3 linked regions of the Saccharomyces cerevisiae S288C genome follow. The protein of the gene in region 3 binds, or shares a complex with, the protein of the main gene of each other region. Each region holds a gene or a part of one and is shown on either strand. Other genes may lie near its edges. A codon is read from its position in the direction of its gene.

Region 1 (3,706 bases), on a different chromosome or scaffold from region 3:
AATATTCTTTCAACACCAAATGAAATACCAACACATGGAATTTGAGTAGATTTTTTGCCGGAAGCTTCAGAGAACATGTTGACCAAATTATCATATCGACCACCGGCTGCAATAGAGCCGACACCAACGAATTCTGACGCGTCTTCTGCAGATTTGGCCTTCTTCTTCAATTCTGAAGCATTCTCTGGTGGAGCAGATGCAGAAGTAACAACTTCATAGATCAAACCTGTATAGTAATCCAAACCTCTTGCAAGAGAAAGATCAAAAGAGATGAATGAGTCAATGTCAAATGCTTCGGTATACTTCATCAAAGTAGCAATATCATCCAAACCTTGTTTAGCCTTTTCGTTTGAAGTAATGTTGGCATCTGCGGATAGAACAGCGTGAATTTCCTTCAAAGAACCATTTAATTTAACATACTCACCGATTTTATCAGCAGTTTCTTCGGATTGACCTTTTTCTTCGGTCATTTCCTTCTTGACTGCTTCCCATGGAGATTTGTCCAACTTATCGACAGCAGAAGAGATTTTCCTCACATCCTCATCTTTAACACCAGCGATTTGGAAGATCCCATCAAGAATCTTCCTGTGATTCAATTTGATTTTGAAATCTTTGATTCCCAAACTGGTCAAACCTTCCACTAAAATGGACAAACATTCGGAATCAGGAACCATAGATTCGAATGTGCCTGCAACGTCAAAATCACACTGGTAAAATTCTCTCATACGACCCTTAGTCATGGCTGGTTGGTCTCTTCTGTAGACTTTTGCAATGTGATACCTCTTGATACTCTGAATATTGTTCATGGCAACGTACCTGGCAAAAGGAACGGTCAAATCGTAACGTAAAGAACATAATTCACCACCCTGGTCCTCCAAGTTGTAGATCAGTTTGGAGTCCTCACCATACTTGCCTGCTAAAATTTCTCTTAACTCGAAAACAGGTGTGTCGATAGTGACACCACCATGCTTCTTGAATAGGCCAGATAAAGTGCTAAAAATGGCTTCTCTGATAACCATATCACTATCAGCCCAATCCTTCGTACCCTTAGGTGTTTTCAAAGACACTTGTAGTTTACCTTTCTTTGGAGCCTTTGAAGCTTTTAGAGCATTAGCAGCATTAGCAGTAGGAGCAGAAGTAGCAGCAGCGGTAGCGGATGACATCCTGATTATCGAAGACGACTTTATAGATGTGACTACTTTATTTAGTGATCTACTAAGCATTAAGCAAGAGACGAGCAGAAAGGAACTATTCTAAAGTAACACATTGGGCCGTAAGACTCATTTAAAAGCCCGGTCGATCAAGGCCATAAGTCATCTTCGAGCTGGTTAGAATTGAAGAAAAAAAAAAACTTGATAAAAAATTTCAAACAAAAAAATTATCGCCTTACACGGAAACGAATAGATTTACTTATTACACAAGAGAGAACAGTGATTATAAGGAAAGAAAGAGATATATACAATATTTCCATCAAAGACGTACGCATCACGGCGTTCATATAAGTATATCATCGGCAAGTCTTCACACCTTTCAATACTTAGACTTGTTCACCTTGAGTGATCCTGAAAAAAAAAAATGATGGCCGCGTTTCGAAGAAAATAAAGAAAAAATAAAGCAAACCTCAAACAAGAAAACAAAGCGGAAAATGGTAAACAAGAGAGATAGAACAGAGTAGTAGGCTATTAGCAAAAGCGCGAGAATTACTACATTATAAAGGATCTGTCAAGAATGACATTGAATAGGAAGTGCGTAGTGATACATAACGGATCGCACAGAACGGTGGCTGGATTTAGTAACGTTGAATTGCCACAATGCATTATACCCTCTAGCTATATTAAAAGAACAGATGAGGGGGGGGAAGCTGAGTTTATATTCGGAACCTACAATATGATAGACGCTGCGGCAGAAAAACGCAATGGTGACGAGGTGTATACATTGGTAGATAGCCAAGGGTTACCGTACAATTGGGACGCATTGGAGATGCAGTGGAGATATCTGTACGACACCCAATTGAAAGTTTCACCCGAGGAACTGCCACTGGTGATTACGATGCCTGCCACCAATGGTAAACCGGACATGGCCATATTAGAGCGCTACTATGAGCTGGCGTTCGACAAATTAAATGTACCAGTATTCCAGATTGTAATCGAGCCATTGGCAATTGCCCTATCCATGGGCAAGAGTTCTGCATTCGTGATTGATATCGGCGCGTCAGGCTGTAACGTTACTCCCATCATTGACGGTATTGTGGTGAAGAATGCTGTAGTGAGATCTAAATTTGGCGGTGATTTCTTGGATTTTCAAGTACACGAAAGGTTGGCTCCACTGATTAAAGAAGAGAACGACATGGAAAACATGGCCGACGAGCAAAAAAGGTCCACCGACGTTTGGTACGAAGCAAGCACGTGGATTCAGCAATTCAAGTCTACTATGTTGCAAGTAAGCGAAAAGGACTTGTTTGAGTTGGAAAGGTATTACAAAGAGCAAGCAGATATATACGCTAAGCAACAGGAGCAGTTAAAACAAATGGATCAGCAACTTCAGTACACGGCGTTAACGGGAAGCCCCAACAATCCGTTGGTTCAAAAGAAAAATTTTCTATTCAAGCCATTAAACAAGACTTTAACCTTGGACCTTAAGGAGTGCTACCAATTCGCAGAGTATCTCTTCAAACCTCAACTGATATCAGACAAATTCTCACCAGAGGACGGACTGGGACCGCTAATGGCAAAATCAGTCAAGAAGGCCGGCGCTAGTATAAATTCAATGAAGGCCAATACCTCCACCAACCCAAACGGATTGGGTACAAGCCATATAAACACCAATGTTGGCGATAATAACAGTACTGCCAGCAGCAGCAACATATCACCAGAACAAGTATACTCGCTACTGTTGACGAACGTCATCATCACAGGATCTACCTCTCTGATCGAAGGTATGGAGCAACGCATAATAAAGGAGCTGTCAATCAGGTTCCCGCAATACAAATTGACAACTTTTGCCAACCAAGTCATGATGGACCGTAAAATCCAGGGATGGCTGGGCGCCCTTACAATGGCCAATCTGCCATCATGGAGCTTGGGAAAATGGTACTCTAAGGAAGATTACGAAACGCTGAAAAGAGACAGAAAGCAGTCGCAGGCTACGAACGCAACAAACTAGTGGTAAGGCGCAAATATCCAAAAGGGATTGTAGGCGGCTAGAAGGAGATGAGATCTCGACCCATTTTTCTCAGCGCCGGTAGTAGCTATCAGTAAGGAGTAAGCGGGTTTCCTTCAAGATTCAGTCCACCCCCTACTTTGAGTGAGGGACATATAAACAAACGCGATAACTCGATGAACCCATTCTAATATAAAAAAACTGTATAAATAGTTATATAGAGATGAACTCTAAGCTAGTGAGGCCCACTGTAAACAGCCATTTTTCAATATGCGCTACCCGGCGGCGGAATATCGTCCCAGCTACATGATAGCCGCTTTTTTGTCTCTCTTTGTCCCACCTGTTCAAAGACATTTGGTAATCAGTTTGTCAGGACAATAGTAAACAAAAGTGCGCAAGTACACATGCGCTGCACGTGCGGCCGGAACAATGGCGCTTTTGGCTCGTCCGGATGATGCGAAAGGGAAAATAAAATCTCGCAATCGGAAAAACACTCGCGAGAACCAAAACAAGGATCCCCTAAACCCAGTACCCGCATACGGTTCTC
Region 2 (6,112 bases), on a different chromosome or scaffold from region 3:
GCAGCCAATTCATCTCAATACTGCGCCGAACAGCTTCTGAAGCGATCTTGACTTTGTGGGCAGCTTGAAATTTTCTTGGATGATTCTGTCCTATTTGAGCTTTACCTCCTCCCATCGAAAGGGCGAAGTCACACCGTTTTCAAAGGTGGAGTGTTACCCCACCCCCCACGCTGACTCCACATCTGACTCTCTACCGTTTTATTATAGCGAACGTTAACTCTGAATGTATGTGTGGTGTGTATGAATTGTATTTACTGCCTGAAATGGAGTCATAAACTCCTTTATACAATTTCAAGGAATTTTTGTAGCCGCGACGGGACCAGTGGGAAGTTACTAAAACCATTGTTTAGTTGAGCCGCCCAAGATGTGACTTCATGGCAGCTATACGTTCATTTGGGCTTTTGGCACTAAAGGCGCTCTTCCGACTGTATTGTTTCCATAAGGTCTATTATATTAGTTACAACATTTTATATAGGTTTATAAAAAGAAAATAGTGCGCAAGGAAGAAATAAGCAGTAAAAGAATATTGTTTAAAAAAATCGCATCATTCCAAATTGGTTAGGATATCATTTTTTAAATTGTAAAGTAATTGATACTGGTTTATTATTTGAATATCAACTGATGGATTAGTGAATAACTGGAAAATTTCTAAATCCGTGGGGAACAAATTTGGAATCGATGCTATTTTTTTTAATATTTCCGGGTCGTTGTTTAGGCAGTTTTCAAAACAAATACTTTTTTCAACCAAACATTTGATTAACTGAACACAGGATATGTTAATTGACGGTAGGAGCACCTTTGAATAATTTTGTTGCTGTAACAAAGTATTCTTACTTGTGGAATTGTTAATATTCAATATTATCTCACTTAACTTCAATAGTCCAGATCCAATATTTTCTTCAGAGCTCAACCACACAAATGGTAAATTCTTGTTGAAATTGAAGCTAGAATCTTTGTTGCCGTTATTGTTACTGTTACTGTCTGAATTATTCTCACTGATTTCAAATACTTCATTGGATAACGGCAATATTTTTTGTACAATGACTAAGATGCTAGTTAGACTCTGAGAAATTACCGGAGAAAATTGGTCGATCAGCAAACTTGGATCAGCTGATTGCGATAACACTTGCTGCAGCGGTATGGCAGAAAATAAAAACGAAACCACATCATTTAGCAAGTTGTGCCTATTGTTATTATTTTTATTGTTATCATTGTATAAATTCAAAAGTCTTCGTAACAACTTTTTGTCCTTGTGGTTGTTGTTACTGTTGCGATCATAGAGGTTGTTACCTGTGTTTTTGTTCAGAAGGATTGATTTGAAATAATTTAGGTTCGGTTTTTCCAATGAAAATAATTTGGCCAAAATATCTACACCGAAAGTTTGATATTTTCCCCATTGCAACTGGAATTCGTTGAAGGTCAAAGATTCAGAGCCAAATGATGACGAAGACGCCATTGGATTGAGTTTTGGTTGACCAAAACTTATGACTAGAATAAGAATTAACAAGCAATCAATGGACGAAGCGATCTCTAATAAATGAGAAATATTTGATAAAACAATAACCAAATCCTTCTTGAAATTTAGTATTTTCCTATTGCATGTAAAGTTTTCTGGATGGATTAAGACTAACCAAAGTAGATCAGATATAAATCTCTTTAGGTAAAAATTTCTCGACATGATTCTGGAGTTGTTATCGGAGAATGAAATATTCCTCAAAATCATCGAGATGGTAGACAGTTGATCGTTAATCAGAACTTTGGGATCCTCTGCCCCTCTGGTATTTATTTTTGTAAATGGATCATCAATTTCATCCTTGATTTTTTTCAAAGAAGTCAAATAAGGAGTTCTGTGAATTTTCAAAGGAAATTGGTTAGGGAGGAATCTTATTGGTTCAGGCAATAAGTCCCACTGTTTAACTGCGGGAGATGTCGACTGCATACTTATAAAACATTCAGTGTCGAGATCAGGCTCCATTTCAGTAGGAGTAGGGGTGGGCAATTGATTACCTGTTAAAGAATCTACCAGGATAGTGACTTTTTCATCGTTAGAATCATTCGGTGTAAGTGTAGCGTTGTTGTTTACCTTTTCAAAAATTTTATCAACCATTTTATCGTGTTGGGTAACATAGTATTGATTTGATCCAGCATCCTCATAATAATAGTCAGAAGTGTTTCGATGGTATGGAACAACATTTTGTGACAAATTTGACAGTAAATTCATGCCGAGTATTGCCAAGGAGTCTAATAATTCAGGGTATTTGACCAGAGATATTTTTAAGTTCGAGTCAGCGCTTGTGACCAACAAGGTGTTCAAGGCGGTGTTTATTTCTCCAAGATTCTTCGATTGGAGGGACATTGATAAAGCATGTAAATTAATTGCACCTAACTCTGGCGCGAAGAGAAAAATTGGCTTGTTGGAATCTATTTTCTCTCCTATTTTAGAGATGTAATTGATATCGTAACCATTGTAATGCTTGAGGCGGTTGATTAGGGGTTTGTAGTTCCTAACAATTGATCTCTTGTAGACTTTAGGCAATTTTTTTAGTTCGATTTCATATTGTTGACGTAATTTTGTCTCTAATAGCAATTTCTGTTGCCTTTGTTGATCCTCTAAAAGTTTTTGTTGTCGTTTCTGAAAATCCTCCCTTTCTTTACGTTCTAGTTCCAATTCCTTTTTGGTCTTTTTTTTCACTCTTTGCTTTCTTGGCTTCTTAACTTGCTGTTGGCCAATATTGTTATTATTTACGTTGATATTAATATTGCTATTCAAGCTTTTTGGAGTGTTTGCTGAAACCGGAACGATCCCTGCTTCTGTTCCTGGTGCTGCTGTAGCAGGAACGGACGCGCCAGGAGCCGCGGGGGTTGGTGCTGACGATGCACTATTAATGTTATTGTTGGCATTGGCCAATGCAGCGGCCTGCTGCTGTTGTTGAACTTTCTTCAATAGTTCTTGTAAGAACTGTTGCAAGAATATTCTTTTCGCTTGAGTTTCCTTTATACCTTCTTGGGAAATCATGTGTCTTTCGTAAGGTAATAAAATTCTAAAATAGATTGATTCTAATTGTTGGTAATCGGAAATTTGCAGCCTTTGGGCCACCATAGACCACTGTTGGGTCCTTGTTACTTGATCTGCACCACCGAATTTTTGAACCAACATATAAAGATAAAAAAGATTTATTTTTCTGTTGCCGATTTCTGGTATTGATTGTAACGGCATATTTCTTTTTTTACAGTTTTCAATCAAAGATTTCATAAAAAGTTCATATTGTTTGTTATTCAATTCAGTAGATATTTTCTCTTGTAATGCCGGGTTCAGACTTTGTAAAATAGATCTTTGTTGTTGCTGCCGTTGACTCTGCAAAAATTTGGGATTCTGTTGTTGCTGTTGTTGCTGTTGTGGTTGTTGATTTTGCTGTTGTTGATTTTGTTGCTGCTGCTGCTGCTGCTGTAGAGCCTGAAAACGTTGCTGCTGCTTTTGCTGCAAAGCGGCAAACATTGCAGCTCTTTCAGAGAACACTGTATTTGCGTTTGAAGTTGAATTATTGGTATTAGCGGGAGTTGCAGCAGGCACGGCAGTGACATTATTGTTATTGCTCGTTTTATTATTGCTGTTATTACGCATATTATGGTTATTACTGTTGTTGTTGTTGTCACTTGTGTTCGGAACAAATTCATTGCTTGCAGAGGATGATCTGTCCATTGAATTTGAAGCAGCGTAATTAGAAATAAGCTGGTTAGACGTCAAATTACCATTATTGGAAGCACTGTTATTGAATGGCAAAAATTGTTGATTTGCATTCGGAGTAGAGTTAGAGTTTGTGTTCGGAGTAGAAGATGAGGAATTTTGACTGATGGATTGAACATTGGTGATAAAATGGGGTGTTATTACATTATCGTTCGCAATTCCGGTGCTATTATTATTATTGTTACCGCCATATAGCTGTTGTTGAGCTTGAAGAGGTAAATTGGAAGAATCAATGATTGAATTCTTGGCTAAAATAGCCTGAGGAGACAGGCTGTTTAAATTTGTGTTGGAATTGTTTGAGTCATATGGAGAATTGAATTGGGGAGACTGGTTCTGAATGAAATTAGCAGCTTTTCCACCGGTAACATTAGCAGGAGCGGCATTATTAACGACTGCTGTTGGAGAAGTAAAGTTCGTGCTGGAGGCTACCGTGTTACTGTTATTGTTATCATTGTTATTACTATTACTGTTGTTATTGTTGGAATCCAAATTCTGGTCAAAAGGTTTTGGGTCGAAAAAATTCTGAAAATCGTCTACACCACTGGCTCCGGTATTCGTATTGTTGTTATTAGTATTGTTATTAGTATTACTACTATGGCCTGTGCTATTGTTGTTATTGGTATTATTAGCAGGATTATTATTATTATTAGTATTATTATTATTAGTATTATTGTTATTGGTAGTAGTAGTAGTAGTAGTAGTATTATTATTATTATTATTATTATTCAAATTAAAGAAATCCATCTTTATTTATTACTATTTTTATTATTACTATTTTTATTATTATTATTATTATTATTATTATAAGACACGAAAAGAAAGAAAATAGAGATAGAAAAAGAAAATTTTAAGAATAATGAGTGTAATAGGAAAATAGCCGCCAGTCAGTGATTATTACCTGGTGAACAATAATCTGCAATCCGTGAGAGGAAACAACGCGAAATGCCAAAGCAGAGATGGTGTAATAAGGATAGAGCCACACAACAATACTTTCTAGAAAAATAAATAATAAAAAAATAAGGTAAACAAAGTGTAATCAGTTGCCTTGCCGTATAGTGTTTTGCGGTATAAATATTGTTATTCAATACGAATGATGAATACCGGAAGGTGGTTATGACTAAAACGCAATGTGAATATGATTACAACTGGCAACAACCACAACAGAAACAACAATAATGCATAGTGGTAATAATACGTAAAGTCAATCAGCGTTCAGTTTTAAAAAAAATCTTTTCTCGGTGCTTTGGGGAAGGAGGGGTGGCGTCGTTTCGTAATCGGAGATACCCAAAGTTCATATCACGATAAACGTCAGTTCCGGGTTAGAATAAATTTATGCGGTAGTTTCTGTGCGAACTTGAGTGCGGTGGCATTTTCCTCCGGCGAGGCCTGGGTGGAACACTCAGGCAGGGGGTACACCCAGACCTGCAGGCATGCATCTGCTGTTTCGGCGGCTATTTAACATGCGCACGATTTTACGAGAGGAGAAGAGAAGTATGATATAATTAACGGTGAGCATTTTTGGTAATGGGAGGTGAAGACGAAATATTAAGCACGATGGAGGATTTTGCGGCAGTTTACGATGTCCTGGTAATTGGTTGCGGGCCTGGTGGCTTTACTGCAGCGATGCAGGCTTCGCAAGCAGGCCTGCTCACAGCATGTGTTGACCAGCGTGCCTCGCTGGGGGGCGCCTACCTTGTAGACGGGGCAGTCCCGTCCAAGACCTTGTTATATGAGTCTTATCTTTATCGGCTGCTACAACAGCAAGAACTTATCGAGCAACGTGGCACGCGGCTGTTTCCTGCAAAATTCGATATGCAGGCGGCCCAGAGTGCACTCAAACATAATATAGAAGAGTTGGGCAATGTGTATAAACGTGAGCTATCTAAAAATAATGTTACTGTGTATAAAGGCACGGCTGCTTTCAAAGATCCTCACCACGTTGAGATTGCGCAGCGCGGCATGAAACCGTTCATCGTAGAGGCGAAATATATTGTTGTGGCGACCGGATCTGCGGTTATTCAGTGTCCTGGTGTTGCAATAGATAATGACAAGATAATTTCATCTGATAAGGCATTGTCACTGGATTATATACCTTCACGTTTTACTATCATGGGAGGAGGTACAATTGGACTAGAAATCGCATGCATATTCAATAATTTGGGCTCTCGGGTTACTATCGTTGAATCTCAAAGCGAGATCTGTCAAAATATGGACAATGAGTTGGCTTCTGCCACGAAGACCCTCTTGCAGTGTCAGGGTATAGCTTTTCTTTTAGACACTAGAGTGCAGCTCGCGGAAGCCGATGCTGCCGGTCAGCTGAACATCACCTTGCTTAACAAGGTGTCAAAGAAAACATATGTACATCAT
Region 3 (7,414 bases):
AGTCAGGTTTTAGATATTCGCTATGCTGATTATGAACATCATCATGACCAGAAAAGCTTCCTCTATTATTTTCGCTTGCAGATCGCCTACTATCTGAAGATTCTAAAGAATGTGTAGAAGACTCGTCTTCTAGTATTTCATCTGTTTGACTTTCTAGTTCAATAGGAATTCTTTCTCTGGTCGTATATCTCGATAAACTGGATGATGAATGTGTAGCGGAATGATAAACGAACCCAGTGTCAGAATTTTCTCCCAGCCTTTGTGGTGCCCTTGAACCAGAGCGACCCCTCTTACTGAAAGATCCATAAGACTTTGCATTTGAGAGAGATGATGCTCTGGAAAAACTTCGAATAGAAGAACGCCTGGAAGATAGGCCCGTACCATAGATTCTATCTTGTTCATAAGCGGGGGTGGCATCCCAGGCCATGTCATAATCTGTATTTTCTAACGTGGAAGCGCCTTCAGCATTGGATATTTGCTCCTGAGTGAAAAATCGAAAATGAGAAGGGTTTCTAGAAGAGCTTCGAGACTGTTCAGCCGAGGATAATACTAAAGGCTCTGATTCAGTCAATCGGCGGCCTCTCTGCTCTAGGTTCCCTGAAGAATGCGGACTTGGGAGGTTGCTTGATTGAAAAGAATGAGGGTGATGGAATGATACAATAGAACTTGGCACGGCTTCGAATGTTGCACCTGCGTACGGTTCCGAATTGTTCTGATCCAGTACCATCGCGGAAGTCAATGTGGCCGCCGTAGAAGTAGTGGCTGTAGAAGAAAAAGAAGCCCTCGGCATTCTTCGGTTCCTTTCACTCCTTTGGCCATGTTGAATTTGGTTTGAAGAGGGAATATCCATTACCGGAGTATATGCAAGATCTATCAGTAAGTCTGGGCTCCTTTTTATTTTAAAGAAGAATCTATTGACTCTGAACTATTTTCAATCAAAAATAAATTCACAAGTCCAACACCTCCAACTCTATGGTATTGCGTTCTCTTTTTGCCCTTTTTTCCTTTTTTTCTTTTTTTCACTACTCTTTCCTTGATTTCCATTTTTTTTCATTTTTCACTCTTCTATCACCTCTTCATACCCATACCCCCTGTTGGCCGCGGCTGCCCTAAATACACACATATATATATATAAAACAAACAAGGCATTTTTCAAATTAATAAAACTAATAAAAAAAGCTATAGAGCCTTTTCTTAGAACACAGTGTTGAAATATTCGCTTTTTTCTTTTTATTGAAACTCCTTCACTTCCAAAAAGACACGATTCTTAATGGCTATTCTGAGTGAACATAAGGACACTAAGAACTAACAAGTAATTGAAAAAAAAAGAAGAAGACATGATGAAGAAGAATTAGTGAGCAAAATACAGTTGAAGTTCCTAACGCTTATTTTCCTTGCAGATTAATTCCAATACATTCGCCACTATTGGAATTTTGCAGGTAGCCAATTTTCGCGTATATATACTAGGTTTAGGAAAAATAGCCGCCGGTAAAAATAGTGATAGGCTGTTACCCGAATACCGTTGTTCGCGATATGTTAAAACCGCGTTTGAAAGACAAATATCAACAAATTGATTGACGAAACGGGGCCATCCTGAGGCGGTAGGACAATAAGTTAAAAGAAAGGTTACCTCTAGTCTCAATAAAGAAGATATTTGTGACGTACGTGGACCTTTTGTATATAAATCATCGGGAAGGTCAGCTATTCTGTTGTTTCTCTAATCGCGACTTTCTGCTATTTTCACGACTTTCGATTAATTATCTGCCATGAACATACCACAGCGTCAATTTAGCAACGAAGAGGTCAACCGCTGCTATTTAAGATGGCAGCATTTGAGAAATGAACACGGAATGAACGCTCCGAGTGTGCCGGAATTTATCTATTTGACTAAAGTGTTGCAATTTGCTGCCAAGCAGCGACAAGAATTACAAATGCAACGCCAACAGCAAGGCATTTCAGGTTCTCAGCAAAATATTGTTCCAAATTCTTCAGATCAAGCAGAACTGCCGAATAATGCTTCCTCGCACATTTCTGCTTCTGCTTCCCCGCATTTAGCTCCGAATATGCAATTGAATGGAAATGAGACCTTTAGCACTTCTGCTCATCAATCACCAATCATGCAAACACAGATGCCATTAAATAGCAATGGTGGTAATAACATGCTACCACAACGGCAATCTTCGGTTGGTTCATTAAATGCAACTAATTTTTCACCAACACCAGCAAACAATGGAGAAAATGCTGCGGAGAAACCAGATAACTCAAACCATAATAACTTAAACCTTAATAATTCCGAGCTTCAACCGCAAAATCGATCATTACAAGAACACAACATACAGGATTCAAATGTGATGCCAGGTTCGCAGATAAATTCTCCTATGCCCCAGCAGGCGCAGATGCAGCAGGCACAATTCCAAGCACAACAGGCGCAACAAGCGCAACAGGCACAACAGGCACAACAAGCACAAGCGAGACTGCAACAGGGGAGAAGATTACCCATGACAATGTTTACTGCCGAGCAATCCGAACTGTTAAAGGCCCAAATCACATCTCTAAAATGTCTAGTAAATAGAAAGCCTATTCCGTTTGAATTTCAGGCTGTTATCCAAAAATCTATTAACCATCCTCCAGATTTCAAAAGAATGTTACTGTCTTTGAGTGAGTTTGCGAGAAGAAGACAACCCACAGATCAAAATAACCAATCAAATCTCAATGGCGGCAACAATACGCAGCAACCCGGCACCAATTCCCACTACAATAACACTAACACTGACAACGTTTCTGGGCTTACCAGAAATGCACCTTTAGATAGCAAAGACGAAAATTTTGCATCTGTTTCACCAGCTGGTCCATCTAGTGTACATAATGCGAAGAATGGCACCCTCGATAAAAATTCGCAAACTGTAAGTGGCACTCCAATCACGCAAACAGAATCGAAAAAAGAGGAAAACGAAACCATTTCAAACGTAGCTAAAACAGCTCCTAATAGTAATAAGACCCACACCGAGCAAAATAACCCGCCAAAACCGCAGAAACCCGTTCCTTTAAACGTCCTTCAAGATCAATATAAGGAAGGAATAAAAGTGGTAGATATAGATGATCCTGATATGATGGTTGATTCTTTTACGATGCCCAATATCTCACATAGTAATATCGATTATCAGACTTTATTGGCCAATTCGGATCATGCAAAGTTTACTATTGAACCTGGCGTTCTACCGGTTGGTATTGACACACATACCGCTACTGACATTTACCAAACTTTAATTGCATTGAACCTAGATACTACGGTAAATGACTGTTTGGATAAGCTACTAAATGACGAATGTACGGAATCAACCAGGGAAAATGCTCTTTACGATTACTACGCCTTACAATTATTACCGTTACAAAAAGCCGTAAGAGGTCATGTATTACAATTTGAATGGCATCAAAATTCTTTATTAACCAATACACATCCAAATTTTCTTTCGAAAATAAGAAACATCAACGTTCAAGATGCATTGCTAACAAACCAACTTTATAAGAATCATGAATTACTTAAGTTAGAAAGGAAGAAGACTGAGGCAGTGGCCAGATTAAAGTCGATGAATAAATCCGCCATCAATCAATATAATAGAAGACAAGATAAAAAGAATAAAAGGTTGAAGTTTGGCCATAGACTCATTGCTACGCATACTAATTTAGAAAGGGATGAGCAAAAGAGAGCTGAAAAAAAGGCAAAAGAACGTTTACAGGCTTTAAAGGCGAACGATGAGGAAGCCTATATAAAATTATTAGACCAAACCAAAGATACAAGAATTACACATCTTCTAAGGCAAACAAACGCATTTTTAGATTCTTTAACAAGAGCCGTGAAAGATCAACAAAAGTACACTAAAGAAATGATTGATTCCCACATAAAGGAAGCATCGGAGGAAGTGGATGATTTGTCCATGGTCCCCAAGATGAAGGATGAAGAATATGATGACGACGACGACAATTCTAACGTCGATTATTACAATGTCGCACATAGAATTAAAGAAGATATCAAGAAGCAGCCTTCAATATTGGTTGGTGGTACCTTAAAGGACTATCAAATCAAGGGTTTACAGTGGATGGTTTCGCTTTTCAATAATCATTTAAATGGTATTTTAGCAGACGAAATGGGTCTTGGTAAGACTATCCAGACGATATCCTTACTTACATATTTATATGAAATGAAGAATATTCGTGGGCCATATTTAGTCATTGTTCCTTTATCTACACTGTCAAATTGGAGCAGTGAATTCGCGAAATGGGCTCCTACCTTAAGAACTATATCATTTAAAGGTTCGCCAAATGAGAGGAAAGCCAAACAGGCTAAAATAAGGGCAGGTGAATTTGATGTAGTTCTGACTACCTTTGAGTATATTATTAAAGAAAGAGCACTTTTATCCAAGGTCAAGTGGGTCCATATGATTATTGATGAAGGCCATAGAATGAAAAATGCGCAATCCAAGCTTTCTTTAACCTTGAACACACATTACCATGCAGATTATAGATTAATTTTGACAGGTACACCACTTCAAAACAACTTGCCAGAATTATGGGCCTTATTGAATTTTGTGTTACCCAAGATTTTCAATTCCGTGAAATCTTTTGATGAATGGTTCAATACACCCTTTGCCAACACCGGTGGGCAAGATAAAATTGAGTTGAGTGAAGAAGAGACGCTTTTGGTTATCAGGAGATTGCATAAAGTCTTGAGACCCTTTTTATTGCGTCGTTTGAAAAAGGATGTAGAAAAAGAATTACCGGATAAAGTTGAGAAGGTAGTGAAGTGCAAAATGAGCGCTTTACAACAAATTATGTACCAACAAATGTTGAAATATCGTCGTCTTTTTATCGGTGATCAAAATAATAAGAAAATGGTAGGTTTAAGAGGTTTCAATAATCAAATCATGCAACTAAAGAAAATCTGTAATCATCCTTTTGTATTTGAAGAAGTTGAGGACCAAATCAATCCAACAAGAGAAACGAATGATGATATTTGGCGTGTTGCTGGTAAATTTGAACTATTAGATAGAATTTTGCCTAAGCTTAAGGCAACTGGGCATAGAGTATTAATTTTTTTTCAAATGACCCAAATTATGGATATTATGGAAGATTTTTTAAGGTACATTAATATCAAGTACCTGAGGTTAGATGGTCATACAAAATCTGATGAACGTAGTGAGTTGTTACGTCTATTTAACGCCCCTGATTCTGAATACTTGTGCTTTATCTTATCAACTAGAGCGGGTGGTTTGGGTTTAAATTTACAAACTGCAGACACTGTCATTATTTTTGATACTGACTGGAATCCTCATCAAGATTTGCAAGCTCAGGATAGAGCGCATAGAATAGGTCAGAAGAATGAAGTTAGAATTCTAAGATTGATTACTACGAATTCAGTTGAAGAAGTTATCCTAGAGAGAGCCTACAAGAAGCTAGATATCGATGGTAAAGTCATTCAAGCAGGTAAATTCGATAACAAATCTACATCGGAGGAACAAGAAGCGTTGCTTAGATCTTTGCTGGATGCAGAAGAGGAACGTAGAAAGAAAAGAGAGTCTGGTGTTGAAGAAGAAGAGGAGTTAAAAGACTCAGAAATCAACGAAATTCTTGCTCGAAATGACGAAGAAATGGCTGTTCTTACAAGGATGGATGAAGATAGATCAAAGAAGGAGGAAGAATTGGGAGTAAAGAGCCGTCTCTTAGAAAAGAGTGAATTACCTGATATTTACAGTAGAGATATTGGTGCCGAGCTCAAACGTGAAGAATCAGAATCTGCTGCTGTTTACAATGGAAGGGGTGCAAGAGAACGTAAGACGGCAACTTACAACGATAATATGTCTGAAGAACAGTGGTTAAGACAATTTGAAGTTAGCGATGATGAAAAAAATGACAAGCAGGCAAGAAAACAACGAACAAAGAAGGAAGATAAGAGCGAGGCGATTGATGGGAATGGAGAAATTAAAGGCGAAAACATTGACGCTGATAATGACGGTCCTAGAATTAATAATATATCGGCCGAAGATCGGGCAGATACGGATTTGGCAATGAATGACGATGATTTCTTGTCTAAAAAGAGAAAGGCAGGAAGGCCCCGTGGAAGACCTAAGAAAGTGAAACTTGAAGGATCTGAAAATTCTGAACCACCAGCGCTTGAATCAAGTCCAGTTACTGGCGATAACTCTCCCAGTGAGGATTTTATGGACATTCCAAAACCACGTACAGCGGGAAAAACATCTGTTAAATCAGCAAGAACTTCAACAAGGGGCCGTGGTCGCGGTCGTGGTCGTGGTCGAGGGCGAGGACGTGGACGAGGAAGGCCGCCAAAAGCAAGAAATGGGCTTGATTATGTCCGCACGCCCGCTGCGGCAACGAGTCCTATTGATATTAGAGAGAAAGTTGCTAAACAAGCTCTAGACTTATACCACTTTGCTCTCAATTATGAAAATGAAGCTGGAAGGAAACTTTCTGACATTTTCCTCTCCAAACCTTCCAAAGCACTATATCCCGACTACTATATGATTATTAAGTACCCTGTCGCCTTTGATAATATTAACACGCATATTGAAACGCTAGCTTACAACTCCCTTAAAGAGACCCTTCAAGACTTTCATCTGATATTTTCCAATGCTAGGATATACAATACTGAGGGTTCAGTAGTATACGAAGACTCTTTAGAACTGGAAAAAGTGGTTACGAAGAAATACTGTGAGATAATGGGCGATAACTCACAACTCGACTTTACTGAATTTGATGAACAGTATGGCACCAGACCCCTCGTCTTGCCTCCTGTTGTTACTTCAAGCGTGGCTGAATCTTTCACAGATGAAGCGGACTCGAGCATGACAGAAGCGAGTGTATAGTACCTTCCTAAAGCAATATAAGTACTTATTCGTTTATACGTAGACAAACATTAATCCCTCTTTTTTTTATTGTACCCATTAACCGAGTTGGGATGTTTAATATCTCTAGTATAACGTGCCGTATATTTCCTATATATATATATATATATATTTATATATATTAGATTTTAAGTTAATTGTTCAACTAATTGATCGATTTCGCCTCTTATAATTCTGCTATACATATTTATTTTAAACCATCTCTTTGAACAAAGTAATATGTCGTCATCATAGTGAACTTGTTCTTGGACCTAATTATAAATTTTCCAATACGGAACAAATTATTTGTTCCAACACCCTGCTAGCAACACAGGGCAATATATATAAAGAAGATATATCTACTACTTCTTTTCCTTGAGTATATGTCTTTAATAGATATTTCATGTATTTGATTCATCTTTAATGGAAATACTCGGAGATTATATACAGGTCCGAGATGGCCTTAAAGATATTTCCCACAAATGTATTTACCACTCATTAGAAATGAGTTTCTGTTG

The links. Proteins that work in one complex are often made in the same cells at the same time.
Region 1: the proteins of SNF2 (region 3) and ARP7 are in contact, whole or in part, in a crystal structure (PDB 4I6M), measured with the Saccharomyces cerevisiae proteins. Residues at the interface, in NP_014933.3 of Saccharomyces cerevisiae: Arg604 (codon at 3,576), Leu605 (codon at 3,579), Ser607 (codon at 3,585), Asn609 (codon at 3,591), Ser611 (codon at 3,597), Ala612 (codon at 3,600), Gln615 (codon at 3,609), Arg619 (codon at 3,621), Lys622 (codon at 3,630); in NP_015359.1 of Saccharomyces cerevisiae: Glu25 (codon at 1,801), Leu26 (codon at 1,804), Leu147 (codon at 2,167), Ser148 (codon at 2,170), Gly150 (codon at 2,176), Lys151 (codon at 2,179), Ser152 (codon at 2,182), Asp171 (codon at 2,239), Gly172 (codon at 2,242), Asp431 (codon at 3,019), Leu438 (codon at 3,040), Leu441 (codon at 3,049), Thr442 (codon at 3,052), Asn445 (codon at 3,061), Leu446 (codon at 3,064), Pro447 (codon at 3,067), Ser450 (codon at 3,076), Leu451 (codon at 3,079).
Region 2: the proteins of SNF2 (region 3) and SWI1 are in contact, whole or in part, in a cryo-EM structure (PDB 7C4J), measured with the Saccharomyces cerevisiae proteins. Residues at the interface, in NP_014933.3 of Saccharomyces cerevisiae: Leu427 (codon at 3,045), Leu430 (codon at 3,054), Ile438 (codon at 3,078), Lys439 (codon at 3,081), Val440 (codon at 3,084), Val441 (codon at 3,087), Asp442 (codon at 3,090), Ile443 (codon at 3,093), Asp444 (codon at 3,096), Asp445 (codon at 3,099), Pro446 (codon at 3,102), Val450 (codon at 3,114), Asp451 (codon at 3,117), Ser452 (codon at 3,120), Phe453 (codon at 3,123), Thr454 (codon at 3,126), His474 (codon at 3,186), Ala475 (codon at 3,189), Phe477 (codon at 3,195), Thr478 (codon at 3,198), Ile479 (codon at 3,201), Glu480 (codon at 3,204), Pro481 (codon at 3,207), His491 (codon at 3,237), Glu553 (codon at 3,423), Trp554 (codon at 3,426), His555 (codon at 3,429), Gln556 (codon at 3,432), Asn557 (codon at 3,435), Ser558 (codon at 3,438); in NP_015309.1 of Saccharomyces cerevisiae: Ser659 (codon at 2,515), Ile660 (codon at 2,512), Val661 (codon at 2,509), Arg662 (codon at 2,506), Asn663 (codon at 2,503), Tyr664 (codon at 2,500), Lys665 (codon at 2,497), Pro666 (codon at 2,494), Leu667 (codon at 2,491), Ile668 (codon at 2,488), Asn669 (codon at 2,485), Arg670 (codon at 2,482), Leu671 (codon at 2,479), Lys672 (codon at 2,476), His673 (codon at 2,473), Tyr674 (codon at 2,470), Tyr677 (codon at 2,461), Ile695 (codon at 2,407), Phe696 (codon at 2,404), Asn718 (codon at 2,338), Leu719 (codon at 2,335), Gly720 (codon at 2,332), Asn723 (codon at 2,323), Leu726 (codon at 2,314), Asn727 (codon at 2,311), Leu730 (codon at 2,302), Val731 (codon at 2,299), Ser733 (codon at 2,293), Ala734 (codon at 2,290), Asp735 (codon at 2,287).

Annotation. Positions count from the first base shown.
Region 1 is NC_001148.4:637,797-641,502, forward strand, and holds ARP7 (Arp7p), read left to right. Parts: upstream 1-1,728; coding exon 1,729-3,162; downstream 3,163-3,706. Other genes in the region: HTS1 (histidine--tRNA ligase), read right to left, coding at 1-1,223. UniProt on the Saccharomyces cerevisiae protein: Component of the chromatin structure remodeling complex (RSC), which is involved in transcription regulation and nucleosome positioning. RSC is responsible for the transfer of a histone octamer from a nucleosome core particle to naked DNA.
Region 2 is NC_001148.4:519,391-525,502, reverse strand, and holds SWI1 (Swi1p), read right to left. Parts: upstream 4,490-6,112; coding exon 545-4,489; downstream 1-544. Other genes in the region: IRC15 (Irc15p), read left to right, coding at 5,270-6,112. UniProt on the Saccharomyces cerevisiae protein: Involved in transcriptional activation. Component of the SWI/SNF complex, an ATP-dependent chromatin remodeling complex, which is required for the positive and negative regulation of gene expression of a large number of genes.
Region 3 is NC_001147.6:854,611-862,024, reverse strand, and holds SNF2 (SWI/SNF catalytic subunit SNF2), read left to right. Parts: upstream 1-1,766; coding exon 1,767-6,878; downstream 6,879-7,414. Other genes in the region: YPK9 (putative acid anhydride hydrolase), read right to left, coding at 1-850. UniProt on the Saccharomyces cerevisiae protein: Involved in transcriptional activation. Catalytic component of the SWI/SNF complex, an ATP-dependent chromatin-remodeling complex, which is required for the positive and negative regulation of gene expression of a large number of genes.